7 linked regions of the Cricetulus griseus genome follow. The protein of the gene in region 1 purifies or fractionates together with the protein of each later gene. This does not show direct contact. Links are inferred from orthologs where the notes say so. Each region holds a gene or a part of one and is shown in the gene's direction. Other genes may lie near its edges. The genes, in order: Polr1c, Polr3g, Polr3c, Crcp, Polr1e, Polr3e and DNA-directed RNA polymerase III subunit RPC10.

Evidence for each region.
Region 2: the proteins of Polr1c (region 1) and Polr3g purify together in Homo sapiens (affinity purification with mass spectrometry; 4 studies listed by BioGRID and IntAct, counting the BioPlex papers as one, with this or other methods). This does not show direct contact. The link is inferred for Cricetulus griseus from reciprocal best matches to the Homo sapiens genes POLR1C and POLR3G.
Region 3: the proteins of Polr1c (region 1) and Polr3c purify together in Homo sapiens (affinity purification with mass spectrometry; 5 studies listed by BioGRID and IntAct, counting the BioPlex papers as one, with this or other methods). This does not show direct contact. The link is inferred for Cricetulus griseus from reciprocal best matches to the Homo sapiens genes POLR1C and POLR3C.
Region 4: the proteins of Polr1c (region 1) and Crcp purify together in Homo sapiens (affinity purification with mass spectrometry; 5 studies listed by BioGRID and IntAct, counting the BioPlex papers as one, with this or other methods). This does not show direct contact. The link is inferred for Cricetulus griseus from reciprocal best matches to the Homo sapiens genes POLR1C and CRCP.
Region 5: the proteins of Polr1c (region 1) and Polr1e purify together in Homo sapiens (affinity purification with mass spectrometry; 5 studies listed by BioGRID and IntAct, counting the BioPlex papers as one, with this or other methods). This does not show direct contact. The link is inferred for Cricetulus griseus from reciprocal best matches to the Homo sapiens genes POLR1C and POLR1E.
Region 6: the proteins of Polr1c (region 1) and Polr3e purify together in Homo sapiens (affinity purification with mass spectrometry; 5 studies listed by BioGRID and IntAct, counting the BioPlex papers as one, with this or other methods). This does not show direct contact. The link is inferred for Cricetulus griseus from reciprocal best matches to the Homo sapiens genes POLR1C and POLR3E.
Region 7: the proteins of Polr1c (region 1) and DNA-directed RNA polymerase III subunit RPC10 purify together in Homo sapiens (affinity purification with mass spectrometry; 4 studies listed by BioGRID and IntAct, counting the BioPlex papers as one, with this or other methods). This does not show direct contact. The link is inferred for Cricetulus griseus from reciprocal best matches to the Homo sapiens genes POLR1C and POLR3K.

What each region holds. Positions count from the first base shown.
Region 1 is NW_023276806.1:255,712,608-255,716,555, reverse strand, and holds the start of Polr1c (DNA-directed RNA polymerases I and III subunit RPAC1), read left to right. Parts: upstream 1-1,148; 5' UTR 1,149-1,240; coding exon 1,241-1,309; intron 1,310-1,424; coding exon 1,425-1,496; intron 1,497-3,709; coding exon 3,710-3,817; intron 3,818-3,901; coding exon 3,902-3,948. Other genes in the region: protein YIPF3, read right to left, coding at 107-304, 860-940. UniProt on the Homo sapiens protein: DNA-dependent RNA polymerase catalyzes the transcription of DNA into RNA using the four ribonucleoside triphosphates as substrates.
Region 2 is NC_048595.1:302,159,060-302,163,300, reverse strand, and holds the start of Polr3g (DNA-directed RNA polymerase III subunit RPC7), read left to right. Parts: upstream 1-1,441; 5' UTR 1,442-1,579; intron 1,580-3,021; exon of another isoform or gene 3,022-3,114; intron 3,115-4,241. Other genes in the region: Mblac2 (metallo-beta-lactamase domain-containing protein 2), read right to left, coding at 486-939. UniProt on the Homo sapiens protein: DNA-dependent RNA polymerase catalyzes the transcription of DNA into RNA using the four ribonucleoside triphosphates as substrates.
Region 3 is NW_023276806.1:59,774,902-59,778,401, forward strand, and holds part of Polr3c (DNA-directed RNA polymerase III subunit RPC3), read left to right. Parts: coding exon 1-200; intron 201-298; coding exon 299-484; intron 485-1,981; coding exon 1,982-2,067; intron 2,068-3,500. UniProt on the Homo sapiens protein: DNA-dependent RNA polymerase catalyzes the transcription of DNA into RNA using the four ribonucleoside triphosphates as substrates.
Region 4 is NC_048597.1:109,299,946-109,303,910, forward strand, and holds the start of Crcp (DNA-directed RNA polymerase III subunit RPC9), read left to right. Parts: upstream 1-1,165; 5' UTR 1,166-1,349; coding exon 1,350-1,357; intron 1,358-3,965. UniProt on the Homo sapiens protein: DNA-dependent RNA polymerase catalyzes the transcription of DNA into RNA using the four ribonucleoside triphosphates as substrates.
Region 5 is NC_048595.1:98,430,430-98,434,636, reverse strand, and holds the start of Polr1e (DNA-directed RNA polymerase I subunit RPA49), read left to right. Parts: upstream 1-1,407; 5' UTR 1,408-1,456; coding exon 1,457-1,577; intron 1,578-2,030; coding exon 2,031-2,134; intron 2,135-2,686; coding exon 2,687-2,763; intron 2,764-3,683; coding exon 3,684-3,769; intron 3,770-4,207. UniProt on the Homo sapiens protein: Component of RNA polymerase I (Pol I), a DNA-dependent RNA polymerase which synthesizes ribosomal RNA precursors using the four ribonucleoside triphosphates as substrates.
Region 6 is NC_048596.1:79,735,656-79,739,646, reverse strand, and holds the start of Polr3e (DNA-directed RNA polymerase III subunit RPC5), read left to right. Parts: upstream 1-1,191; 5' UTR 1,192-1,350; intron 1,351-3,991. UniProt on the Homo sapiens protein: DNA-dependent RNA polymerase catalyzes the transcription of DNA into RNA using the four ribonucleoside triphosphates as substrates.
Region 7 is NC_048599.1:60,488-64,730, reverse strand, and holds the start of DNA-directed RNA polymerase III subunit RPC10, read left to right. Parts: upstream 1-1,443; 5' UTR 1,444-1,523; coding exon 1,524-1,634; intron 1,635-3,061; coding exon 3,062-3,149; intron 3,150-4,243. UniProt on the Homo sapiens protein: Core component of RNA polymerase III (Pol III) which synthesizes small non-coding RNAs using the four ribonucleoside triphosphates as substrates. Can mediate Pol I proofreading of the nascent RNA transcript.

The sequences.
Region 1 (3,948 bases):
CTAGACTGTTAACGTTACACAGCCTTTGCCAGATTTCTGTGTGGTTCTCCCTGGAAAACCTACGTCACCTTGGGACACACATGGGTCCACTTTCCCATCTGCTTACCTGATCAGCCACCTGTCGGCTCAGCTGTCCCTTAAAGCCTTTCATGCCCAGAAACTCGCCATCCTCCTCTTCTGCAGCAGCTGCGTCGGCATCCACTTCTTCCTCACGCAGGCGCTGATGCAGCTCCCCCATGTCCTCGAAGCTGGAGCCTGACGTGTCATCCATGTTCTCCATGTCAATCACGGCCGAGCCCCCGCCCTGTGAAGACAAAGGCTGCTAGAGAGCGGGGCCTTCTGTTGCACCCTTCTGCTCTCTGCTCATCGCACGGTTTGAGGCTTTGCTCTCCCACTGATGAGGACATTGGAATTGCTACCCATCGTGCCAAACTCCTCCTTGTCACTGCTGGCACAACTCTTGTCGCCACACTTTTGTGGTTCAGAAAACACACTACTCATCTTCAATTCACGTTGTTTTCCTACCTTCCCCCTCAAAGCTTCGAAGTGCTGCACCGGGGCCGACCTGCCGCCACCCACCTTCAAGCAAGCCTATGTGCACACAGGCCACCTTTAGGGGCTCCAGGGAATCAATCCTACCCTCTAGCCCTGCACCTGCCTGACCCAGACAGGCCGCCCAGCCACGGAGACCCGAGGCCCGCTGCAGCCTCGGCCTGGCCCTTCCTCCTCAGCACAAGCGCTACAGACCTGGGCGTGGGAGACTCAGCGGCCACCACTTGCAATGGAGCCGACTTCCAGGCCGCGAGAGGGGACGGCGGCCAGCCCGGGGGCTGCCGGCAGCCGGGACACCGCTCCATACCTGGATGTTTTCTTCGAAGCCTCCCCACTCCGGGCCAGCTCCGTTTCGGACGCCGCTGGCCGGCGCCGCGGGAGTCGCCATGTCCCTCGAGGCTTTCCGTCGCTGAAGCTCGCGGGCGTGGGACCAGCGTGAGACCCGGGCCGGAGAGAAGGAGGAAACGTCCAGGAAAGAGAGAGGGCGAGGTAGTATCAGCCGGAATGCAAACAGGAGAAACCCGGATGTTTGGCCCCAATTGACGTCCGGAAGTGAAGGACGTGGACGGGGCGGGGCAGGATATCGCGACATTTATAAGTTCAGGAGGCGGGGCGTTGCCAGGGAGACGGCAACGGGCCCCTAGTACGCCTGCGCGCACCGGAGGCGTCTCGAGGCGGGTGGTGGACGATGGCGGCGGCCCAGGCCGTGGAGGAGATGCGGACGCGCGTGGTTCTGGGAGAGTTCGGGGTTCGCAACGTGAGCTCGGAGCGGAACTCGGGAGGGTCGGGGGCGGGATGGGGGAGGAGGAGGGGAGGGGACCTGGCTTGCGGCTTGTCCTCACCGCCCCGCTGAACACATCTGTTGGCTCTAGGTCCACACCACCGACTTCCCCGGTAACTACTCGGGTTACGACGACGCCTGGGACCAGGACCGCTTCGAGAAGGTGGGTGCGCGGGAGGTGTCCCGGCGGCCCGGGGACCAGACGGCTCACGCTCGCCGCGTTCCAAAAACGTGTGCTGAGCCATCCATGTGCTGGGTGCTGGGTGGCCAGGCCGCCCGGGTGGGGTGAAGGCCCACGTGATCAAGGGATCCCGGTGAAACACAAGAGCGGCGAGCACGGCCGGGGTGCGGGAGAGGAATCCCGTAGGTGACTTAATCCGGTCCGTCGGAGAGACGGAGACTCGGGTCAGTGAAGGAAGACTGGCCAACAGTTAGGCCGTGCAGGCCTAATTGGAGCATTGTTGCAAACGCTTGTTTGCGCAGAGCCTGCTCCAGCAGTTCATTATCGCCAGATGTCAATACATTGGCCCGAGTGGTAGACAAGACCGGGGTCTATCTTTTTCTCTTTGAAAATTTATTTGTATTTTATGTACATTGGTGTTTTGTCCGAATCTATGTGAGGGTGTCGGATCCTGTTGTCAGTTACAGTGTTGAGTGCTGGAAATTTAAACTCGCGTCCCTGATTGGGGTGTTATCTTAAGCTCTGCAAGTTAATAGAGAGCTCTGTTGTTTTTTTTTTTTCGAGACAGGGTTTCTCTGGGTATCCCTGGCTGTCATGAAACTAGCCTTTCTGCCTCCTGAGCGCTGAGATTAATAGCATGAGCTACCTCGCCTGGCTTAAAGAGAATTTTTCAGTAGACTGATCTAATTTTGTAACCTTCATAGCTGGGAGGGAATGAATAAATTCCACTGGTAGTGGAAATGGAGCAAAAGGAGAACTAACAGCTATGTACCATATAGCTTTGGTGAGGGGTGTGTGTGTGTGTGTGTGAAAAAGGGCCTTGTGATGTGGGGAATTTAAGGAGTTTTTTTTTTGGGGGGGGGGTTATGTGTTTACCTGCATGTATATTTGTGCATTTGTGTGACTGGTGACCCAGGGAGGTCTAGTTAGGTCCCCAGAACTGGAGTTATGCATGGTTATGAACCACAGTGTGGGTGCTGGGAACCAAACCCAGTTCTTTTTCTTTTTTCTTTTTTTTTCTTCTGTTTTTCGAGACAGGGTTTCTCTGTGGCTTTGGAGGCTGTCCTGGAAGTAGCTCTTGTAGACCAGGCTGGTCTCGAACTCACAGAGATCCTCCTGCCTCTGCCTCCCGAGTGCTGGGATTAAAGGCGTGCGCCACCCAACGCCCGGCCAAACCCAGTTCTTCTGTAAGAGCAGTCAAATGCTCTTAACTGCTGAGCCATCTCGTCAGCTCCATTAGGGAAGTGTCTTGATGGCTGATTGTGTCAGTTGATAAACAGGAGAAAAAGAGTGATAATATGTTCAAATTCCTGTATGTGAAGTCTGTAGGTCAAGTGAATGATGCCTGAAGTGAGATCAAAATGAACCCAAGTTTGGGGAGTTGCTGAGTAGTTGCTTAAGCCAGGAGTGTGATTGAGGTCAGCCAAGAGATTTGAACCTGGGAGAAAGTAACATTTACAGGGTGAGAGGAAGAATTTAGAATATCAGATAAGAGAACTAAATTGGTGTTCAAAAGTCAAGGGAGTAGAATTTGAAAAAAGAGGGATTGAAAAATAAAAACAAATGCAGGACTAACTTGTCTAAGCAGTGTGGGACGTTCTGCTCTTCAGTGTAGCAGCTTCTGTGGGTTGTTTTTGTGGAGCCATATTGCCTAGGGTCTTTTTTGGGGAGAGGGCGGGGGTTGAGACAGGATGTAGCTTTGGAGCCTATCCTGGCACTCCATCTGTAGACAAGGCTGGCCTGGAACTCACAGAGATCTGCCTGTGTCCCCCTCCCCCCCACGCGCGCGCGCCCAGTGCTGGGATTAAAGGTGTGCACCACCAATGCCCGGCTTTGCTTAGGGTCTTAGTGATGTACACCTTTGATCCTAGTCCATAGAAGATAGGTAAGTATTCCTGTGAGTTCGAGGCCATTGTGGTTTACATAGATAGTTCCAGAAATGCTAGGGCAAGGTAGGGAGACCCCCCCTTATTTTTTAATTTAAAAAAGAAAGAAAACCAGCCAGGCTTCTTACAAAACTCAAGAACAGGGCTGAAGACAAAAGTCTAGTGATCATCTGGTCACAGGAAGGCTTTAGGATGAGAGAGGGTGGACATACATGGAGGGACATTGCCAGGGTGGGAGTAATCACAGAGGGAGGCTTGAATTACACAAGAGAAACAGGTGTTCCATCAGTTTTTTCTCTATCCCTCTAGAATTTCCGTGTGGATGTTGTTCATATGGATGAAAATACACTGGAGTTCGACATGGTGGGAATTGATGCTGCCATTGCTAATGCTTTCCGGAGAATTCTGTTAGCTGAGGTAAAAGAAGACGTGTGGGTCTCTTATTTCCAGGTAGGGAGATCAGTTGGTGTTGCAGTTGGATGATTCTGCTTTTTTGAACAGGTGCCAACAATGGCAGTGGAAAAGGTTCTGGTTTATAATAACACATC
Region 2 (4,241 bases), on another chromosome or scaffold:
GTGGATGAAATGGCTGGAGCCACAGCTCTCCAGTTTTCTAACCCTACAGGTGGGACTCATAGTCACTCCGCGGTGAGCACGCAGATGAAGCAGCAGTTCTCAAAGCACAGAGCATAACACTTTTCTCAAGGTGCCATTCCTTAAAAGCCTACTCGTTACAAAAGCTGGAAATGTTCGACTCATGCTAGGGGAAGAAAGGAAAACCCCAGTCACAAGTCTCTGCAGTGTTACTACTGTAGCCGACACAAGGAATTGATTGGGGGTGGTGCCAGCTTTTTAGAGACAGCCACACAGTTGCAGAGCGCTTCTCTGGGCAGAGAAGGCTGCCAGGGCCTTGGCTCTGCTCAAACCGGCTTTCACGCAGCAAAGGGTGAGACACACTGTACCCCAACAATGCCAAGGTGGCCATGGAGGTCTGCAACATGCTGCACACGCTCCCCAAACCCCTCCCTCCACGACAGCGCACGCCCGCGGGGGCCCATTACCATCCTGCAGAATGAGGGTCGGCTGCACTGCCTGCACTCGGAACTGCCTGGCCCTCCAGCCAGGGCTGGGGGCTCGCACCACCTCGCTGTCAGAGAGCCAGGTCACGGTCTCAAAGTTGTCCCCTCGAGCCAGGGCCTCGGCCTCAGCGCGGTGCACAGCCACCTGGTCGAACTGGTAGAGCCCGCCGGAGTGATCGAAGTGCACGTGAGTGGCCACAGCCAGCAGTGGCCGGCGCCCGGCATCCTCCTTAGCCCCGCAGTCCTGCAAGAGGCCGGAGGAGTAGAGGTACTCCGGGAGGCTGCGCAGCCCCAGGCCCGTGTCGATCACCACGTCTTGCTCGGAGCCGCGCACCAGCCAGATGTTGGCGCGGTTGCCTGACTCGTAGAAGCGCTCTTGAATCCAGAAGATGCCATCGCCCAGAGACTTGTGGGCGTACCACTCAAGCGCGGACATGCTGCTGCGCAGGGGTGCGGCCGGGAGAGGTGGGTGTGCCTCCCAGGGGCAGTCCGGACCCAGAGCTGCCGCAGTGTGCGGCGTACTCCACTCAGCCCCGGAGGAGGCGCGAAAGAGGGGCGGGGATGCGGAAGGGAGCGCGGATAGGCCGCGGTGACGCTGCCCAGATCTCCTGCTCCCGGTCCGCACAGCGCAAAGGCTGCACCCCAGGCTGCCGCAGCTTCTGCAGCCGCAGCACCGTGGCAGTAACGCAGGCCGCTGCAGCAGGGCGGAGATATGGGGCGACACTGCCCTGCTCGGGGGTTCTGCTGCAGAGGCTAGGGATGATGCGTGGGAAGCGCCAGGACCGCCCCCGCACGGGCAGCAGGCGCAGCTCACTCACCGCTGGAGCCCAGAGTGAGGCCGAGCCAGTTGGAAGCAGACTACGGCGCCTGCCAAGGGCTAAAAAGCTCGGTGCCGGGGGCGTGGCCTCGCCGGCAGTGGGCGGGGCTCCTAGTGGGCTAGCTGAGCGCGGTGGCCGCGTGCAGGACAGTGATCGCTGCTGGGGAGGTGGAATCCGCGGCTCCTGGCTGGTGCGGCTGCAGGGACCCCGGCCACCTCGGCTGAACAAAGTGCACAAGCCTCGAGACGTTGTGAGCAGGTAACAGGAAGCTGTTCCGAATTGGGTTGGAGTTGAAGAGGGTAGAAGGGAGTTGATGGGGCACGTGGAGAACGTGGTGGACCCGCATCGGGAGCCAAAATTCATCAGACCTTTGGAGTGACTTGGGAGGTAGCCTTACCTCTTCAAAGCCTAATGCTGCCTTCCAAATCCTTTGACGTCTTGGTAGTTAGATCTTCCAGCCCCCTCCTGGGAGTGTTCTTAGTGAGATAGAAGGGAGTTTATGCTCTTGCTGATACTACAGAAGACTTAGCCAATCCGGAGATCCTACAGTTCGTTCACGCACTGGTTTGGCGACAGATTGCTGCTATGGGCATACCATTCCGCTTCTGATTTCTTTACTCTTGGCACCCTGGATTGTGGGGAGAGGAGTTGCTAATAGGATTTTTCTTTAAACAATTCTAAATTTCCGTCATGTTTTGTTCGGTTCTCTGCTCGTTGAGAAAGTTTCCAGAGCTTAACTAAAGAAAGGCGGGGCACTTTGAGGGGGACAGGAAAAGTGGATAATGACTGGGTGTGGCCTACCCAGCCACTAAAATCACCCCCACTGTTAACATCAAATCCCTGTGCTCTCACCCCAAGCCCTAGCTATTGCTGTATCTATTTAGGATTCAGAAATGCCCTTGAGAAGTTGACTAACCGTCAAAAATTAGAGACCCACGGGATAGCATTATAAAGGATAATTAGGAAAATGCTTACTGCAGCATCTCCTAATAGACTTTCCTGGAGGGAGAGGTGTATTCTTCCTCTATTCCTAAAGTCTCTGGTGGGAGTTCGAGCAGGTTACTGCCCCTGTGAGTATTTTGCTAATCTCATCTAAGTACAAGTTATTCAATTATGCAATTGGGATCATTCTTAGCACTAAATGATGTGTGATGAACACAAAACTATATTTTTTTTAAAAAAAAAAGTCTGATTTGAGTTCTCAAGAATCTGAGGAAGCTAATGCCTGTACACAAATACTTGTAATACAAGACAACATGAATTAAAAAATTGGATGCTATGTGGGTAAAAAGGGAGAGACTGCTGAGTGATTGCACTGCCCTCTGTACTTGATGTTTTCCCTGCAGAAGGGAGCCATGGCTCCAAGGTAAAATGGCTCATTATCATTTCTTGGTCATGAGCTCAGCAATAATTTGCCGAGAATTATTTGGCTTGTGCCAGGCTACAGTTCACAGTGGTTCTCTTTTTCTGCTTTTCAGCCTGACTCTGCTTCTCATCGTTGTTAGATTTACGCCCAGGTATTGCTGAGTGAGGCAGGACTTCTTCAGCTGGTGTTTCTGGGCTGTTCCCTGCTTTTATTACACATCACCTCCCAGTCTCTGGCGTTTCTCTAAAGTAGACTTTGCCTGTTTCCCATACATGACTGTGAACTCCATCTGAGCACAGGTGTTATTTTGTTCCCTTCTGTATTTCCAACACAGAGGATGATTTGACACAGAGGGTACTCAATGAAGACTCCAGTGGGTGATGGAAGACCCTCCCTGGGGAGACACACAGGAACCAACAGTTACTTGGTGAGAGGCAGAAGTTATGTGTCCTACATTTGTTTGAAAGATGCGAATGGCACATTGTAAACACTTGCCCTCTGTTAAAATGACTACAGAGGGAACTGAAACTCGGAACCTGAACATAAGTCTAGTCTGTTTTTGGAGGATCAGATGGAGATGATAGAAGGCCTGAGCGAAAGCAGAAATAAAGGAAGGGAGCGGCAAAGAACACCCAGCTAGAAGTCTTCTGCTAGGTGACCAGAGTGGAGTGAGTCAGGCCCTTGACTAAAACAAGTTGCAAGTCATTCATAACTGTGGCCTGATTTCCAGGCCTCCCCTGGCTTCCAGCAACTCAGACATTTGTCTAGTTAAATGTGTAAGGTTTTAATGTGTACGACGTGAGGACAGTATATGTAAGTCACAATCATAACTCTTGATAGTTTAGATCTGGGGAGAACTGCTGAGATTATCTCATGCTCTCCCAGGAGATTGTAGTTAGAGTTGAATAATGCCCATTTTCAGACATCCAGGAACAACCTCTGAATAGCAGTTTCGAGGTGGCATCCTGAGGTGGAAGGGACGGTGTTGCTTTGTTGATAATTGTATTTTAAAATTCAGATTTTGAGAGGGCTGGAAAAATGGCTTAGCAGTGACAAGCTCATGCTACTCTTGTTGAGGATCTGAGTTCAGTTCCTAGCTTCCACACCAAGTGGCTCACAACCACCAGTAACTCCAGCTCTAGGAGATCTGACATCATATTCTGACCCCCACAGGCACCTACATTCAAGTACACATACTCACAAACATTACAAATAAAATCTTAAAATTCAGAACTTTTTGCAGTTACTAATTTCCCTCACTGATTCTGCATCATTGGGATTAAAAAGGGTTGTCAACTAGTTTAGACAGGTGCTTCCCAAAAGAAAATATAGATAGAACATTGAAAGTATTTCCTGAGGCCCAATCTATACCTGCCTTTGATAGGAATTAAGACTATCAGATAACATTTCAGAACCTTTTAACTCTTCTATAAAATGGGAGATTTAATTTACTCTGATTCTTAGTTCAGCCAAGGCTGCATAGTGAGACCTTGGAGAGAGACAGACAGACAGGCAGACAGAGACACACAGAGAGATCACATATAATAAATATGG
Region 3 (3,500 bases), about 200 Mb from region 1:
TAAACGCAGTGTTGTGGAGTATGAAGCCCAGTGTAGCCGGGTATTGCGAATGCTTAGGTATCCTCGGTACATCTATACTACCAAAACGCTGTACAGTGACACTGGAGAGCTGATTGTTGAAGAGCTCCTGTTGAATGGCAAAATGACAATGTCAGCTGTTGTGAAGAAAGTAGCAGATCGACTCACAGAGACCATGGAGGGTCAGTACTGGATCTACAGCTCTTAGAAAAAGCACAGATTGGCTGGCTTCTCCATCTTCTTAGGCCATCTCACCTGCCTCTCTCCCCCTGTTATACAGATGGCAAGACCATGGACTATGCTGAGGTATCAAATGCATTTGTGCGACTGGCAGATACTCACTTCGTACAGCGCTGTCCCCTGGTTCCTGCCACTGGCGATTCTGACCCTGGGCCACCACCACCTGCCCCAACCCTTGTCATTAATGAAAAGGACATGTACCTAGTTCCTAAACTGAGCTTGATAGGTAAGGAATTTTCATCCTGGAACTACCATTTGCCCTAATTCTGGATTCTTCTTCACTGATTGTTAGGTGAATGAATACCTGATTGTTTACCAGTTACTTGGTGTGTGCCAGTTATTGTAGTACGTAATAATGTGAAAACCCATGATCCCTTCCCAGAAGATACCAGTCATATAGGTATGTCACACACTTGTGTTAAGGACTATGGAGAAAGTCGTTGTAGTACATAATAATGGAAAACTCATGATCCATTCCCAAGATAGCAGTCACATAGATATGTCACATACTGTGATAAGAACTATGGAGAAGCCAGGTATGGAGGAATGGGTTTGTGCAATGGGTAACAGCTTATGTTTTTCTGAGAAAGTCCAATTTGATCTGGATCTTTTTTTTTTTTTTTTTTTCCTTCAAGACAGGGTATAGGGCTTCTCTGTGTATCTCTCTAGACCAGGCTGGCTTCGAACTCACAGCCTGCCTCTGCCTCCTGAGTGCTAGGATTAAAGGCGTGCGCCACCACCACCCAACTTGATCTGGATCTTGATGAAGAAGTAGGACCTACCAGTAAGGCGATAGAAGATGGGTATTTTTAAAACTAGTGTGTAATAATAAGAAGAAATAAGAGCATTGGAGAAAGTGAAAGGTCAGTGTAGAAGCAAGGTGAGCAAAGTTCAGAGAAGCTTGAGAAAAGGCTAGAGAGTGGAGGGACGAGGTAAACAAGGCCGTGTAGAATGCCTGGTCTTTAACCTAAGAGCAAAGGGAGACTACTCTGGTTTTAAGCAGGAAATGACATGATCTGATTTACATTGTAAATTGTCTAATAAAGGCTGAAAGGACAGGGCAAAGGTAAATAGAGACAGACTAGTGAAAAAGTAGATATAGGAGCAGTAAGAAGATAAGTGTCAAGAGTGACATCTGTGTGTCTGATTTGCACCCATGGGAGCACGATGGTACCATTCACTGAAAGGAAGCATAGGAGGAGAAGCAGTTTGAGATCAAAGACTATGGATTTTCTTTTTTTATATATATATATATATAATTTATTTTTATTTTATGTGCATTGGTGTTTTACTTGCATGTATGTCTGTGTGAGGGTGTCTGATCCCCCGAAACAGAGGTTACAGACAATTATGAGCTGCTATGTGGGTGCTGGGAATTGAGCCTGGGTCCTCTGGAAGAGCAGCCAGTGCTCTTAACCACTGAGCCATCTGTCTCTCCAGCCCCAGAATTTTCTTTTCTTTTGGTTGGCTTTTTTGTTTTTGTGGTGGGTTTTTATTTGTTTTGTTCTGTTTTTTTTTTTTTCCAAGTAAGGTTCTCACTATGTAGCTCCAGCTGTCCTGGAACTCAACTTCATGACTGGATTTTTTTAAACATACTGAATTTTAGATGATATCCTCAGTCTCCTAACCAACTCTTAACTTGAGGCAGCTACAAATGTATTTGGGCTTTATTTCCTGTCATCATATGATATATAGTCTAGTTGTTCAATATTTTATTTGTCAGGAAAAGGTAAGAGGAGGAGATCATCTGACGAAGATGCTTCTGGAGAGCCCAAGGCCAAGAAACCAAAACACACAGATAACAAAGAGGTAATGGGGCTTCCTGATTAGCAGTCCAGGGATCGCCCTCAGATAACAAGTTCCAACAGAACCTCAGTGCTCCTGACTAAGAAGAAGTAGGATTATGAACTTCAGTAAGTGTTCGTCAGGAATAGACCAATGGAAACAATGCTACCACACCATCTCTGCCCTCTTCTCACAGGCCCTCTTTTTACTAAGGAGCATTGAGAACTCCTGAGAGGGGAGGGGCTTTGTAGAAGGAATGTTTCATTCCCTTCTGAGGCTTAAGTTGTTTCACTGAATAATGGTACTGATTTATACAAAGGAGGGAGTAGAGCTGGGTGTGTTTTTGCATCCCTTTAGCCCCAGCACTGGGTACGCAGAGGCAGGCAGATCTCTATGAATTCAAGGCCAACCTAGTCTACAGAGCAAGTCCCAGGACAGCCAAGGCTACACAGAGAAACTCTGTCTTGAAAAGAGAGAGAGAAAGAGAGACTTTGGCCAGGGGTGTAGCCCAGTTGGTAGATAGCTTGCCTGGCATGCATGAGGCCTTGGGTTTGATTCCCCAGTACCAAATAAAACCAGAAGTAATACCCAGTGTGATAACCCATGTCTTTAATCGAAACGCTTAGAAGGCAGAGACTAACAGATCTTTGTGAGTCAGAGGCCAATCTGGTCTACATAGTGAGTTCCAGGACAGCCAGAGCTACATAGTGAGACCCTATCTCAAACAAACCATAAGTGGTGGTGCACAACTATAATCCCAGCACTCAGAAGGTACAGGCAAGAGAATCAGAAGTTCTAGGTTATCCTTGCCCCTCCCCCTCCTCAAAAAAAAACAGAAAAAAAAAAAAAAACATCAAACAAATGAAAAGAGAGAACCTAGATAAAGTTCAAGATTTTCAGTATGGCGGGAACACATAGACCTATGAGGACTAGTGGTGAGGCATTAAGTTTAGAAAGATGCATTTAAGCCTGAACTGTTATAATACCCTATCAGCACCCCTATAAAGATGCTAAAGAACATAAGCCAGTTGTGGTGGTGCATGCCTTGTAATCCCAGCACTAAAGAGGCTGACACAGGAGGATTGCTGCAAATTCAAGGCTAGCCTACTACTTAAGGAGTCCCTATCTTTGAAAAATAAATAAGTAAATCTCAAAATTATGGCTAAGAGCTGGGGCAGTAATTCAGTGGGTAAAGCAATTGCTGCACAAGCATGAGGAACTAAGTTCTAGTCCCTAGAACCTACTTAGAGCTAGTTGTGGTAGCAGACAACTATAATCTAGGTGTTCCTAAGGCGAGGTAGGAGACAAGACCTAGAGTTTCCAGAAGCTCACAGGCCAGCTATCCTGCTATATAAAGAAGCAAAGATACCCTGACTCAAGCCAAGATAGAATTCGAGGATTGACCCCTGAAGTTGTCCTCTGACCTCCACACCCATGCTATAGCACACATACTCCCA
Region 4 (3,965 bases), on another chromosome or scaffold:
TTTTTTCTTTTTGGTTTTTCAAGACAGGGTTTCTCTGTGTAGCTTTGGAGCCTATCCTGGCACTCCCTCTGGAGATCAGGCTGGCTTCGAACTCACAGAGATCCACCTGCCTCTGCCTCCTGAGTGCTGGGATTAAAGGCATGCGCCACCAACCCCCTTTCTTCTTTTTTCAAAGTTTTATTTTATTTTTTTGGTTTTTCGAGACAAGGTTTCTCTGTGTAGCTTTGGAGCCTATCCTGGTACTCGCTCTGTAGACCAGGCCGGCCTCGAACTCACAGTGATCCACCTGCCTCTGCCTCCTGAGTGCTGGGATTTAAGGCATGTGCCACCAGCACCCAGCCAAAGATTTATTTTATGTGTATCTGTGAGTGTCTGTGTGTATGTATATACTTCACATGTGTGCCTGGCGGGGGCTATATAAAAGGCCTTGGATCCTCTGGAATTGGAGTTACAGGTTGTTGTGAGCCACCACGTTGGTGCTGGGAATCAATTCCTGATCCTTTGCTAGAAATGGAAGTACTCTTAACTGCTATGCCATCTCTCCAGGTGTCTCTCTTTCTCTCTCCCTCCCTCTCCCTTTCTCTCTGTTTCTTGTGTGGCCTAGGTTGTCTCACAAAAATGTGCTAGCCTCTACCTTCCCTTTTTTCCCTTGCTGGAATTAGAGGCGTGCGCCACCATGCCTGGCTGGCTTCTGGGGGTTTTGGTTGGTTGATTGGTATGTGTGTGTGTGCCTGTGCGTTTTTTTTAAACAAGATTTTATTTATTTATTATGTATACAACATTCTGCTTCCATATATATCTGCACATCAGAAGAGGGCACCAGATCTCATAACGGATGGTTGTGGGCCACCATGTGGTTGCTGGGAATTGAACTCAGGACCTTTGGAAGAGCAGCCAAAGGTGCTCTTAACCTCTGAGCCATCTCTCCAGCCCTGTTTTTTGTTTTTTTACACAGTGGTCTGCAATAGCCCAAGATAGCTTGAAACCCACTCTGTAGCACAGGCTAGCCAGGAACTCGTGGCAATCCCCCTGCTTCAATCTCTCTAGTGCTGAGATATCAGCTGCGAACTGACTGGCTTGGAGATTTTTAAAGCGTCCAAGACAGGAACCTTATCTTATTAAAACCCTAACAAAACCTAGACCATAAAAAAGTTTAAATTTTGCCTCCAGAGGCTGAAATTCGAAATCCGTACGACGCAAGGAGCCCGGCGTTCCCTACAGCGATCCCGGCATGCAACACGGCGTCCCAGAGTGGCTTGCGGCGCACACGCAGGCCGAGAGCTCCGCGGCGGTGGCACGACGGGAGGCCGTTCCCTTCCAGCGGCTGCGCAGGACGAAGCGGCTGCGACATGGAAGTGTAAGCCGCATGTCCGAGGGCAACCCGACTCATCTGGGGGCCGGAGACGGCTGGTGGTCGACCCTCCGCACCCGCTACCAGGGCGGGAGGGCGGAGTGGACGGGCCGGAAGTATCTGGAGGTGGGGCGGCTGGGGAGGGATCCTGCTGGTCCCGCAACCCACGTTCTTTGAGGGAGGGGAGTGTAGGAGCAATGAGTTTTGTTTGCTTGTTTGTTTTTCCTCCTGGTTCTGGGTATGAAACTCAAGACCTTGCACGCGCTCCGCAGTCGTCTGCCCCCCCCCCCATCATCATCATTTTGTAATGCTGGAGTTGGTACCCAGGGCTTCTCACATGCCAGGCAAAGGCTGCAACCCTAGCCGTTACCACCGTCGTTATTTGTGATACTGATACCCAGGGCTGTGAACATACAAAGGTGTGCTAGTTTCCTTTCTGTTGTGTGAAAAACACCATGACCAAACAAGGAACTTCGGGGTAGAAGTTTATTACATCTTTTGGTTTTTTGGAGACAGGGTTTCTCTGTGTATCTCTGGCTGTCTTGGCACTCGCTCTGTAGACCAGGCTAGCTTCGAACTCTCAGAGATCCATCTGCCTTTGCCTCCCTGAGTGCTGGGATTAAAGGCGTGCACGACTACCGCCTGACAGGGTTTATTTATTACATCTTACACTTCAGGACACAGTTCATCATTGAGGGAAGTCAGGGCAGGAACTCAAGGCAGAAACCTGAACAGAACCCGTTCAAAAATTCTGCTATCGGTTTACTCTCAGGCTTTTTTTTTTTTTTTAAGATTTTATTTTATTTATTATGTATACAACATTCTGCTTCCATGTATATCAGCGCACCAGATCTCATAAGGGATGGTTGTGAGCCACCATGTGGTTGCTGGGAATTGAACTCAGGACCTCTGGAAAAAGTCAGTGCTCTTAACCATTGAGCCATCTCTCCAGCCCACTCTCTGGCTTTTTACAACAACAACAACTCCTCATTTTCTTTTCTTTTCTTTTCTCTTCTTTTCTTTGTTTTTCTCTTGAGACAGGGTTTCTCTGTGGCTTTGGAGGCTGTCCTGGAACTAGCTCTTGTAGACCACAGAGATCCGCCTGCCTCTGCCTTCCAGTGTACTGTTAATTGTTTTGTGGTGCTGGGGATGGACACTAGGGTGCTAGGCAAGTGCTTTAGCACTAAGCCACGTGCCCATCATCATATAGTGGTGTTTGGAATGGTAGCATCCTGAGCATTCTAGGCAGTTACTCTCCCACCAGCAAAGCCATCTTGACAGTTTTTTCTCCATACTGTTTTTTTTCTTCTTTTTTTTTGTTTTTTTTTTTCTTTTTTGATGTGCAAATGTAAGTTTTTGCATCTATTCTACCTGTGGACTTTATATATCCCTGGATGACATACCTAAATTGTGGGGTTTTTTTTTTTTTTGTGGGGGTGGTTTGAGACAGGGTTTCTCTGTGTATCTTTGGAGCCTATCCTGGCACTCGCTCTGGAGACCAGGCTGGCCTCGAACTCACAGAGATCCGTCTGCCTCTGCCTCCCCCCCCCCCAGTGCTGGGATTAAAGGTGTGTGCCACCGACGCCCAGCTCTAAATTGTGTTATCATTCATTGTTCTTTACCTTCTGTTCACTTGTAATATATACTACAGTTTGTCAGACTTTTTAATACAGAGTCATAAGTAGCTCAGACAGGCTTTGATCTTGGTATTCAGCAGAGGATGATCTTAAGTTCTATGTCTCCACCTCTCAAGCTGCCACATCAGATTAGTATTTGTATGGGGGGGGTCTCACTGTGTAGCTCAGGCTGTCTGGTTCAGCTTTCTCCATCTGAGTAGCTATTGTCAGACACCCTGGCAATGCTCAGCTCTCTGACATGGCCCTGAATTTCCCTCTCCATCCTACTGCTGGGAGTTCTTTTGTTACTCCTCTTCCCTTGCTGGTCTCAATGTTATTGAGCATCTTAGTGCTTCATCTTCTTGGGACACTTTCTGTTCCCATTCTTGGTATACATTCATTTATATGATGGTGGTTCCTCAAAATGTTTCTTTTTTTCTTTTTTTGTCCCTCATTTTCTGTCAAATTGTTTAAAACAAAATCTAGCATATTCCCTACCAGTCATCAGACAGTCCTTTTCTTGTTTTCCAGCACCCCCCACCCCTTGTAGTAGGGTCTCATGTACCCAAGGCTTAGCTTAACCTTGAACTTACTACCCATTCAAGGGTGGCCTTGAGCTTCTGATCCTCCTGCTTTTACTTTGCCATTGCTGAGTTTACTGGTGTATTACACCATACCCTGTTTATGCAGTGCTGGGGATGGGGCCAGGGTTTTATTCGTCTTAGGAGTGTTGTAATTTAAGAAAAGCGGTGCACGAGAGAAAGATGCCATGCACAGGGTTCAAGCAGAGGGGTTTTTTATAGGGGAAAGGGAAGGAGGAGATTGGCTTCCGAGACAGGGGCAGCAGTTGAGAGGAGAAAGGAAAGGGATAAAAAGGAAAGAGGGAGAGAGAGAAGAATGGGGGAGGGGGAAACAGACAGAGAGGGAGGGAAAGAAAGAGAGAAAGGATGGGAGGTAGGCAGGGCCCTTTTAAAAGGGAACACAGTGAATATGTACAG
Region 5 (4,207 bases), on another chromosome or scaffold:
TTCATGAATATTCCCACCTATCACCTAGCTTTTCACTCATTTGTTCAATATTCATTTGTTTTACATTTACATACACCTGTACACACTGTGTAAGCTCTCTTCTTCCACTAGGTGGGTCCTGGGAAGACCATCAAGCTTGATGGCAAGTGTCTTTATCCACTGAGCTATCTTGCCAGCATTCTCATTGAACATTTATTGAAAATCTCCATTTGCACAGGACCTCCCAGGAGTTGGAGGTGCAGAAGTTAAAGGAAAGAAATAAATGTACTGGCTGGCGTGGTACATGTCTATAATCTCAGCACCGGGCAGAAGGATGAGGAGTTGATAGTCACCCTCAGGTGGGAATTTGAAGACAGACTGAGCCTAAAGAGAATAAGGGACCTCAGCCCCTTTCCCCTTCATACTTGGCCACCAAATGAGCAGTTTTGTTTTACTACACACTACTTCTTGGGAACTAGCTAGCAACTAACTAACTATCTAACTAACTAAATAAATAATTTAAAATGAAATGTGTTTCTAATTAGCTCCAAAATTAGTTATTAAGTTCCAATAAGCTTAGTGTGGAAAAGACTGACAGAAGAAGCTGATGAATAATTAGAGAATGAAGCCCTCTTTCATCTCTTTCCTTTTCCTTTCTGAAAACAATCAATTGAAAACACTTGGGTAGGATCAAAGAAAGTAACCTTCCAGTCAGAGTTGTGACAGCTAAAAGCAAAGCATAGTGTGTGTGTGTGTGTGTGTGTGTGTCAGAGTTGTGACAGCTAAAAGCAAAGCATAGTGTGTGAGTGTGTGTGTGTGTGTGTGTGTGTGTGTGTGTGTGTGTGTGTGTGTGAATGTGCTTGTGGAGACCATGTGTGTTCAGGTGACAAGGAGGCCAGAAAAGGAAATAGGATCTCCAGTTACCTGAGCTGGAGCTGCCCTGCCTAACAAGATTGTTGGGAACTGAACCCGAGGGAGAGCAACAAGTGCTCTTAACCACTGAGCCATCTCTCCAGCCTCAGGGAACACGCCTATCCTGGCACTCGCTCTGGAGACCAGGCTGGCCTCAAACCCACAGAGCCTCCTGCCTCTGCCTCCCGAGTGCCTCCACCAACGCACGGCCTGAGTATTCTAAATTTCAACTTGGCCTTATCAGGTCTTGGAAAGGTGAGAAGAAAGACAGTCCTCTACCTAGATGATGATAAGTCAGAGGCAGCTCCACGCGAAACCGAGGCTGAAGACGCTGTGTTTCGGCGTTTGGCTAAACCTTAGGGCGTAAGCGGGAGCACTAAGCCAATCAGGTACTGCACCTCGAAGAGGCCCTCCTACCAGGGGCGTGGCCACCGCGGAAAGAGCCAAGAGTGGTCCGGGACGAAGCTCCACCACGCTAGAGGCGTGGTTTCGCGTTTTGCGTGTTCTGGGCAGGTCTCAGAGTGTCACTTCCGGTGTATGCGTCCGCGTGTGAGCCGGAGAGCTCATGGCTACACTGGAGTCTTCCGGGCTGGACAGCCAGAGTAGAGACATGGAGACAGAGGTGCAACAGAGTGCAAGGTGGCTGTACTGTGGGGAGCCTGACGACAGGCAGAAAGCTGTGCTGGGTAAAGACTGCGGGACCGGAGCGGAGTTTCGCTCAGCCCTATCCCCTTCTATCTGGGTACCGCGTAGCCCTCCTGCCCACTGCCTGGAGCTGGGACAGAGCCTCCGCTATCCTCCCTTTCCTCTGTCGTGACTTCACATGCGAGGACACTTCTCAGGGCAGTGCCCAGGACTTGGAGATTTCACCAGGTCTCTCATTCGCCCATTTTCCCCTCCACGGAGCAGAGTTCCCTTTCTTCTGCTAGTTAATGACATTCCCTCCGTCATTTTCTGCACAGAGGCCACCCCCTCCCCATCTCCTTTTTTTTAGTACTGGACCAGGACTTCCTTCAGTCTCCCTAAAAGTGGGACATGAGCTCTCTTGCCTTCGCCCTGGGTTCCCAACCACAGTGTAGTTCTAAGCCACCCCACTCTGCTGGTCTTGCCCTCATCTCATTCTTGGGTTACACTTACAGTCCAATTCTCCAATGGGAAGCTGCAGAATCCAGGCAACATGCGCTTCACCTTGTACAACAGCAACGACTTGGTAAACCCCAGGCTGAAGAATCAGCGGATCCTGGTAAGGGCTGCAGGTACAGGTAGTCTGGGCTCTGCAGGGCTCAGAAGGCCCTTGGTGTGGGCAGATATGGGAGGGCCTGAGGGGAGAAAAGGAGGAAAGCAAATGGGACTGTGGCTTCACCAAGGTGCAAGATTTTGGGTGAAACGATGACTTTTCACATATTTGGGAAAAAGGATTTCTCCGTGTAGCTCTAGCTATACTGGAACTCACTGAGTAGACATAGCTGGCTGACCTCCAATTCAGAGATCCGCCTGCCCCTGCCTCCACAGTGCTGGGATTAAGGGTGTGGGCCACCACCGCCCAGTTTGAAGCTTTTTAATTTCATGCAATCCCAGGTGGCGCCCCCCCCCAGAACTTTATCACTTTGAAGCTTCCTTATGGTATTTGGGGTCCCCCAGAGACACCCTAGATTCCTGTAGATATGATGGGGTAGGTCACCTGGAGAATATCTAGGGCTGGTCATTTTGGTCCTGGATTCTAAGACTTCTATACACGTCAAAAGGAGGCCATGCCCAGTGCTGATTGTAAATTGGACACTCCTTTGTTTTTCAGGCAGCAGAAACAGACAGGCTGTCCTATGTTGGAAACAATTTTGGGACTGGCGCCCTCAAATGCAACACTCTTTGCAGGTAATGGACAACTGGGCAGTGACAAAGGTGCTAGGAGGGTTGTAGTAGTGACAGAGACAACACTATCTTCAGTCTTCATTTTGGAGGTAGTTGAGATCTGCAGGTTTGCTAAGACTTTGTGTTTCTAGACTCACAAATTCCATATACTGTTGTGTAGACACCCTTAGAAAGGAAAAGATGGCTTGCGTTTGTCGAGTTCCTAAAGACCTCATTATGACATTATGTATGACTGTCCTATCCCAAAAGACAGCTATGTCTGCTGATTTAGAATGTGTGATCATCAGGTCAAAGCTTGCCTCAAGTTTGCCTTGGGACAAGAGGATTTTGTATCTTCAAGGCCTCTGGGTTGGAACAAAGCAGCCCTCCAGCACTGTCAGAGTGAATGACTTTGGCAACTTTGCTCTTCGCTCACCTCTGGTGTCTTCTGTGTCACAGCATCATCCAGCCTGAAGAATTTATGCATGCCAAAATTCTGTTTAATTTTAGATTCTTATTACCTCAAAAGGGTTTCCATTAACAGCAGTGGCTTTAAATTTGTTTTGTTTTGTTTTGTTTTGTTTTGTTTTCTGAGACAGGGTTTCTCTGTGGCTTTGGAGGCTGTCTGGAACTAGCTCTTGTAGACCTGGCTGGTCTCGAACTCAAGAGATCCTCCTGCCTCTGCCTCCCAAGTGCTGGGACTTTAAATGTGATTGGTTATCAGAACCATCTGGTGGCTTTTTCAGTCCACAACCATTTTATGTCTCCTTCCTCTTCATCACCTACTGTTTCCTCTCCGTGCAGGGATTATTGTTACATGTGAGCAAGTGGATGCCTTTTTCTGGCAGAAAGAAGCTAGGGATATGTGAATAGGAAAAAGAGAGGATTGTGTAAATAATAACCTTTTGGTTAAACTACTATTGTATCATTACTTTTTTCCTCAGACACTTTGTGGGAATTCTGAATAAGACCTCTGGGCAGATGGAAGTATATGATGCTGAGTTGTTCAACATGCAGCCACTGTTTGCTGGTAGGTTCCGGAAATGAATACTCTGTTAAATGAATATTCAGTTAAATACATCGTTTGGGTTTGTTGGATTAGTTCATTTTTGTTTTCTAGAAGGCATTTGTAATTTTTTTCTAAATGGCTTCCTCCACATATACCTTTTTGAGAGAAGGTCTCATGTAGACCCTTGAATTTTCTGGGTAGCTGAAGATGACGTTGGATTTCTGGTCCTCCTGCCATCAACTTGAGAGTGCTGTGTATGGTGAGAGGTTTATATGGTAAAGGGGTGTGAACTCAGAACTTGGTGTCTATTTGGCAAACACAGCTTATCCTCAACCATAATAGGATGCCTTCTTGCCGAGTGTTCTCATTTTTCTTTTTTCTTTTTAATTTGAAAAGGTATATGGATATATAACCTTTTGTGGGGCGGGGCGGGGGGGGGGGGGGGTTGAGACAGGATTT
Region 6 (3,991 bases), on another chromosome or scaffold:
ATGTGCAAAAGTATATGCAGGAATGAGTTTAATTCTAGGTGGTGGGAATATGGGTGACTTTTTTCACTGTGTCTTTTTCAGTCTTTTAACGTATGGGGCTGGTTTCAGCGAGTAAAGACACTTGCCTGCAAGGCAGACAATCTAAGCCGCCCCCACATGGTGGGAAGAGAGAATATACTCCAGCAAGTCTGTACTCTGACCTCCACAACATGCCGCCCCTATAAACAAATAAATAAAATAAATGTAAAAGCCTGTATGTGTACATCAACATGCATAGATACTTACAAATGGTAAAAACAAAAGAAAAATGAAAAGCCTGGTGAAAAAACTAGCCAGCTCTCTATGCGTTAGTATGTTAATAAATATTTATATACCAACCCATACACAATATGAACAAAACTGTTTTTCCATGGAGATACACATCCATAGAAACCGACAGCGAAAGATCCGAAAGGATGTATAATCAGCCGATAATGGTGGTTACGAGGAAACTAAAGCAAGTCAAAGGTTAAAGAATTATTATGTTGAATATTACGAAGATTATATGCGAAGTTTTAATATTGTTTGCGTACTAAAAATTTAAACACGTGACTTTTCAGACAGAACTGTGCAGATGTGGGGTCATGGTTCGCTTCTCAGAGCTGGGGTGAGAGTTACTGCCAGGATCAGTCTCCAAGACACCTAATTCGGGTTGTGTAGGTGACGGCGTGGTTTAACTGGACGCGTTAACCATCAGAACGCGATTTAAACTGCTTTTTGCTTTAAAGCTTATTTGGAACAAGCTCGGATATAAATAATTTAATTTTAATAGTTGGCGTTTTAACAATATTGTTTGTGACAATTTCTATCAGGAGTAGATAAAACACAAATACAACCCCCGAAAAATTATAAGAAACAAACAAAAAAAATGTATGCATGTGTTAGAACATTAAGTAGCTTCTTAGAAGGCCAGATGAGCAGCTGGGTAGCGTGGCCGAGCGGTCTAAGGCGCTGGATTAAGGCTCCAGTCTCTTCGGGGGCGTGGGTTCGAATCCCACCGCTGCCAGGATCAGTGTTTTTTCCTACCTTAACCCTGAGCTACTTTTTGCCGCCCCAGCGGCGACCTCTGCAGTTGGTTCTCGTTCTCTGCACCACGAGTAGCTCGCCGAAGGGGCGGGCCCGCGCGCTCTGGGGCGGGGCATTGTGGGTAAGAGGAAGCGCGAGGGCCGGCCCCGCTCCCCCCACGTGTCCGCCGGAGTTTCTCCAGCAGCAACATGGCCGCTGCCTAATAGGAGACCCGGCCGCCACCGTCTCTGCAGCCCGCGGGTCCCTGGGCCGTTGCCGCCGCTCGCGCGCGGCCCTGGCTGAGAGGTGAGTGCCGACTCGGCAGCCCCGGGGTTCCGGCCGCAGCCGTCGCACTCGCGCGGAGGTCTGGGCCTCTCTGCGGAGTAGGCCGGAGAGGCCCGCGCCGCTGCGTGCTGAGGGGCCGCGGCCTCCCGGGACCCGGGCGGGGCGCACGGGCAGCCGCCTCGCTTTCCCGGTCGCTCCGCACGGCTGGACGTCGGGGAGGCGACGACCGTGGGGCCCGCGCTGACTCAGGCCTCGGCCGCGCTGCCCCGCCCGGGCCTGGCTCCGGAGCCGCACCTGCGAGAGCACTGGTGCCCGGTAGCTTGCGGCTCTCGGAGGTGTGGGAAGGGCGCCTGAGCACCGGCGACATGGAGAAAGCTATGGGACGTCAGGGCCGCCCGCATGGGCCGGGGTCTGCGTCCTAGCTGAACCGGGTCAACCCTTGCTGGTGGTGCCGGGCCCGGGGCGCCTCATTGATTGATCTGTGCTTAAGCAGAGTCAAAAGGCGACTGCTCCTCAGACCCTGGGACTCTTCAGTCACGGGGGGTGGCGGTGCTTAAACCAGGTCGTCCTGCAGTTGTAATTGCCTTTAGGGTTTCTGGGTTTCGGAGCGAAAAGGTATCTGCGAAATGGGGATAACGTGATTCCTGTTACAAGAGGGTAAGATGGGTGACATCTCCTGCTTTTCATTTGTGGCTGTCTTCGTTTCATCCTATTTGAAGAAAACATGTTGCCACGTAGCAACAGTCATTCATTCATGGATGTTCCACTTTTCTCTTTGAAGCCGGTGCTTTTTTTTTTTTTTTATTGCCGGCTTAGGGATGAAAATAGGAAAGGACCCAAGGTTATGCAATTCATGCTTTCTGTCAGCTGGTACGTTGCGCAGAGGTGGGATTTGAACCTGTAAGGTTTCGCACGGGAGTCCGACCTCTTACCCACTACACCATACTGCCTTTTATCAAAGATGTGTGCAGCATAGTGGTTAAGAATAAAATCAAGACTCATTGACACCTGCTAGACGGATTTCTTGATTATACTGTTCCCTGGGGCTGTGCCCTTGGGCAAATCATAAGTTGGGCACTATAAATTTTGAATTGCACAGCTAATGAGAATGAATATTTTTGGTAGTATATTGATGCCAGACAGCATTAGGGTTTAGGAGAAGGGCTGTGAATTTTTTTTTTTTTAATTTTACAAGTAATGACCCTATAACAACGGTGAAGTATAATTATTATGTCTACTTGATGGTTGAGGAATATGAAGCATAGAGAAGCCTTCGTAGAGTTCAAAGTCTAGTGCAGAGGATAGCCAACACCTGAGCAGCAAATAGAGAAGTTCCAGGTTAGGACCACTCAGGAAATAAGGGATTGTGTTAATGGTGGAAAGAGTTGGAGGCAGCTATTCAAATTGGGTTTTCACTAAACCTGTCTAGTCCTGGAGGGAGGGGCAATGCTTACATTTAAGGAAAATGAGCATCCTGAAAATGACCTGGGATTCTTGTGCAGAGGTCCTCGGGATGCGTGGGGATTGGCCTGTTGGAGGCTCAGTGATAGATTACCAGTCCCTGAGGAGATGGTTATGTGGAACCTGGCAAGATCGTGTAAGGGCTTACAGGCCCATGAAAGGGAGTTTGGGTTTTGTTTTATGGTACAGTTGAAGGGTTTCAAGAAGAGAGCAATGTGAGTAGTTACTACAGAGACGGGAGGTCCTCTGGAGAGATAGGAAAGAATGGCCCTACGAAAGCTTTTTTTTTTTTTTTTTTTTTTTTAGCTTTTTTTGTTTGTTTTGTGTCTATTATTATTATTATTTTTTTTTTTCAGATGAGGCCTTGCTATATAATAGCCTAGGATGCCCTTAAATTTCTCTCCTAAGCCTTAAATTTCCTCCCTAAGCCTCCCTAGGGCTGGTATCGCAGGCCTGGGCCACCACAGCTGACTCAGGAGGCTTATTGGATTGTTGACTTTGAAGATTGCAGGTTAAGACTTAGTGAGCTGGGCCGTGGTGATATACGCCTTAAATCCCAGCACTTGGGAGGCAGAGGCAGGAGGATCTCTGTGAGTTCAAGGCCAGCCAGAGCTGTTACAGAACTCTTGTCTCAGAAAATAAAAAAACACCACCAAAAAATGTATTAGTGAGTGATGTAAACTTGGCCTGGGGGTCTTGCCACCAGCATTTTTATTTTGCATAGGCAAGGATAGAAAATAGAAAACATCACTGTGTGGCATGTAACAATCATATTACATGAAGTACTGTTTCAGCTGTGGCATTCCATGTATCTTCTGCATCATTGTTGGGAAAAGATTATTGTCAGTCATAGGCTGAAACTTTGAAAGCCACTGAATTGGCTCCTGTTGGTTGGGAGGCTAACAAGAGGTGATGACCTTTGCAGGTAACCCAATCAGGTGTGGTGCCCAGAGGGAGGAGCCTCTGTCATCCTGCAGAGAGGGCACCTGATCCTGCCTGATTCCAAGACTGGCAGAATCTCAGCCGTGAAAGAATAACTAGAGCTGAAGACTCTCTTAGGCCACAGCCTCTTTTTGCATGTGCTGTGTTTCATTGATTCCCCCTGAAGTCCTGTCTCAGTTGGCCACAAAGTACAGCTGCCTAAAGGGCAGGTACTTGTTTGACCCATATCTGTGACACTTGGCAGCCAGTGCAGATGCAC
Region 7 (4,243 bases), on another chromosome or scaffold:
CAGTTCCCCTCCTTCCTCTCTTCCCGCTCCTCCCACCTCCCATCCACCACTCCTTGGTTCAGAAAGCCGCGAACTTCCCATGGGCGTCAACAAAGCATGATATATTAAGTTGAGGCAGGACCAAGCTTCTCTCCCTGCATCAAGGCTGGGTGAGGCATCCCAGCATCGGGAACAGGTTCCAAAAAGCCAGCTCATGCGCCAGGGACAGGTCCTGATCCCACTACTAGGGGCTTCACAAACAGGGCAAGCTAAACAACTGTCACCCACATGCAGTGGGCCTAAATCGGTCTGATGCAGGCTCCCTAGCTCCCACTATCTCAGGTCAGCTGTTTCTGGGTTCCCCAAGTTACGATCTTGACTCCCTCTTACTCGTACAATTCCTCCTCCCTGACTGTGGATCTCTGCATCTGCTTCCATCAGTTACTGGATGAATGCTCTCTGGTGACAATTAGCGCAGTCACCAATTACAGGAGAAGGCCAAGTGCTCTTAAGCTGAACCATTTAGCCCCTTCGTAGTGCTTTCCTATTTCACGCATGACCTTCGGCTTAGTGGTGGCACCGCCCACAACGGGCTGCGTCCACTTCTATCAATTTGCATTCAAGAAAATGCCCCATTGAGTTACCTACTTATAAGTCTGATAGAGACATTTTCCCAATTGGGATTCCTCTTCTAGATAACTAACTTGTTAAAGTTAATAAAACAAAACAAAAACAAAAAACCCACAGGAGTCACCCCAACCCCTCCCTGTGTAGGTTATAGAATTCTTGCAGAGGATTAAGGAGGTAAGACATTTAAAAGAGGTCTGAGAAGGCAGAACTGGGAAACGTAAAGGAGTCTATAGGAATGAGACAAAAGAACCAGATGGAGGTCTGTGGAGAGGAACTGCTGGTATTGTAGGTCAGAGTTGATCTGTAGAATTGAATCTAGTGAAATGGCATAAGTGAAATAAGTGAAATGGCAGAACTGGGACCAGGTGAAGAAATGGTCAGATTGGAAAGATGGTAAGTACAGATAGACAGGTATTCATACGTTAGGCAGACAGCAGCAGAGAGGTAGTATCAACACTAGGGGCTGAATTAAAGTCCCTGGGACATTAGGTTAGTCTCTGCCTGTCAGTCCCGGCTCAGAAGATGCGAAGCAGCCGGTCCTGCGCCACTGTGACAAGACCTTCCTGAACACGTCCATGGCTCGGAGTGCGGCACTGTCTTCTCATCACCTGTACCTCCCTCCGAACCTTATTCCCGGGTAGGTCAGGCGTGTCAGCTGCCAGCCCCATCTCTCGGGCCATTTAAGCCTGTGCTTGCGTCAGGGAGATCCGTGCGCACGCGCAGGCATTACAGGAAAGCTGGGAAGGCAGACAGCGCACTATTGGAGGGTGGGAAGGACTATCTGCGTTGACCAATGGCATGTGAGAGCTGCCTGCCGCAGTGCCTTCTGGGTACGTGCCAGTGGCCGCTTCTATTGGGCGTCTGCGGCCGCGGAAGCTTTAGACAGTAAGAGCTTACTTGTTGGATCTGCAGCAATGTTGCTTTTCTGTCCGAGCTGTGGAAACGGACTAATTGTGGAGGAGGGACAGCGTTGCCATCGTTTCGCCTGCAACACTTGCCCCTACGTGCATAATATCACACGCAAGGTGAGTCCCAGAGGCGAGCGCCTCCTCCACTGTCGGTGCGCTCAGACTTCCTGCGGGCGGTAGTTTTTTTTTTTGCTCACCTGTGGAAGTACCTCAAGTTCAGTAGTTGGTAATCCAGTGGCATCGCTCCGGCCAAATCGAAGCCACTCTTCTGGTCACTTCAGAGATTTCTGCCTCTGGCTCTCTGCTGCCGGTTTTGTGACACCCAAAAGGTTGCGAGATTTCCGTTTTACCTCTAGGCTGAACCACGCCTTTAAAACCTACAGCTGTCCTCCGCACGCCAGGCTCCAATACGCTTATCACCTTCTCTGATCTCAAATCTTAATGTTCTTTTTGTGGCTCTTCTTGCTCCCAGATCCTGTCGCTATTCTGGAGGATCTTACCTCCAAAAGTGCACGCAGTACTGTTAGCTCCTTCACGTTCCTTTCGCCCGAGTTTTCTTTCCCAACGAGCCATTTGGCGCTCTCTCTCTCTCTCTCTCTCTCTCTCTCTCTCTCTCTCTCTCTCTCTCTCTCTCTCTCTCTCCTCCCTCCCTCCCTCCCTCGGTGTGGGTATGTCTGTCTGTTTCTCTCTTCCTTTTCCTTTATCTCTCTCCCTCTCCCTCTCCCTTTTGGCTGTTGGTACATGCCTATAATTCCATCACGTGGAGAGGCTGTGGCAGGAGATTAAGTTCAAGGCTCACCTGGGCTGCATAGCATATGTATATGAAAATTAAGTAAACGAAGAAACCAAACCCAGCTCTTCCAGTTTATTCTCATTCCTTTTTCTTTTCCCAGGATTCATCGTCTTCTAATATATGTCATTGTTGCTGCTTTGTGTGTGTGGTGCTTGTGTTGGAACCCAGAGAAGCTGCTTTTACAGCCCTTTGTATTGTCTACCTTTCCATTCTTGTTCCTCCTTAACTCAGTGTCCTGAGTTCTGTGATTTCAGATGTGTATCATCAGGCCTTGGTGATACCTCATTTTTAATGTTTGCACTTAAGAGCTGTATGGTAGGAGTTTGGAGTCTGGATATGTGATAAGATTGAATGGTGACATAATTTTTGAAAATTGAAGGATGACTAAAGCAACGAAATGTGTCCCTGGGAATGCTGGGATACCCAGATAAATGGTGCTATTAGGCTTTTGTCTGTCTTTCATGTTGGGTTATTAGGGGTATGAGAGAAGAGCATGGTTTAACTCAGCTGTCTTCCTGCACTGTCTGCTGTTTCCTCCAGTTTCTAGGGGTCTCTGACATTGAAACTGTGCTGTTTTGGGAATATCTCAGTCACAAAACCCCTACATTTTAATGGCTCTTGTCGCTCTTTGAAGAAGATAAATTTTGTATCCATTTACTGAGTAGAGGAAATGCTGGAGGAAAGTTATAGTTTGGTGGCCTGCTTTTAAAACTATATGATTTCTTAAAATCTGATGACTTGTTTTTGTTAGGTAACAAACCGAAAGTATCCAAAGCTGAAAGAAGTGGATGATGTGCTTGGTGGAGCAGCTGCCTGGGAGAATGTGGACTCTACTGCAGGTGAGAATTTTCCCATTACAGAGCCAGTGACTCAACCCTATTTATTATTACTTATTATTATACTTAATAATAATAAATTTATTGTTATTTATTATAATGCAACCCTGTATATTGTTAGGACCAGTAAGATGGCTCAGCAGGTAAAAGCACTTGTTTCCAAACCTGTTAACCTGAGTTTGATACTTGGAGCCCAGATAGTATAAGGAGACAGCTGATTCATGAAAAGTTGTTTACCAACTCCCACCCCCTCAACCAGTAGTTATAAAAGAATTTAAGAAAATATAAACAATAATGACAAATAGCTTGTGTTTGCCAATACAGGAAATATTTTGATATGTTGTAGTCACAATATAGTCATTCTTTAAACTCTAAGCAAGGCATTAAGACCTTTTTGTTTGTTTGATTTTGTGTTTTGAGACAGGGTTTCTCTGTGTAGCCCTGGGTGTCCTGGAACTCTCTCTGTAGACCATGCTGGCCTCGAACTCAGAGATCCATTTGCCTGCCTGCCATGTGATAGGTTTAAAGGCATGTGCACCACCACCTGGCCATATTAAATTTTTTTAAAGCAGATTTCTTTCAAGGATTAAATATACTGAAAGGAAAATCACCATATTGATACCTGCTCTGTTGTTTCATTTAGATTCTCAGGACAGATATGGGCAAGTATAAGTAAAAATCTGGTACATATTCTCTTCTTGAAACAAATTTGGGGTTTATTACAAAAAAGTTTCAATGTTGATTTAAACTTAAATATTGATGGTTGTTGAGAGGAGGCGAGAGGTGTAAAAGGACAGTTGTCCATGCTCTAGTGGGTACAGGCTTCTCAAGAGAATTCTGTTGTATGTATTTTCAAATACCAATATTGTAAAAATGATTAGCCCTAGTCTTTTTTTATTTTTAAAAATGTTTATTAAATTAAAAACAATAAAAAAATCTTATTTTACATACCAATCCCAATTCCCTCTCCATCCTGTCCTTCATTCCCCCCCCCATCTCCTCATTCCATCCCCTATCTCAAAATAAAACAAAAGCCTCTACTCATTTTCCACTTTCAAGGCTTTTGCTTATTTTTGAGATAGAATCTTGCTGTGTAG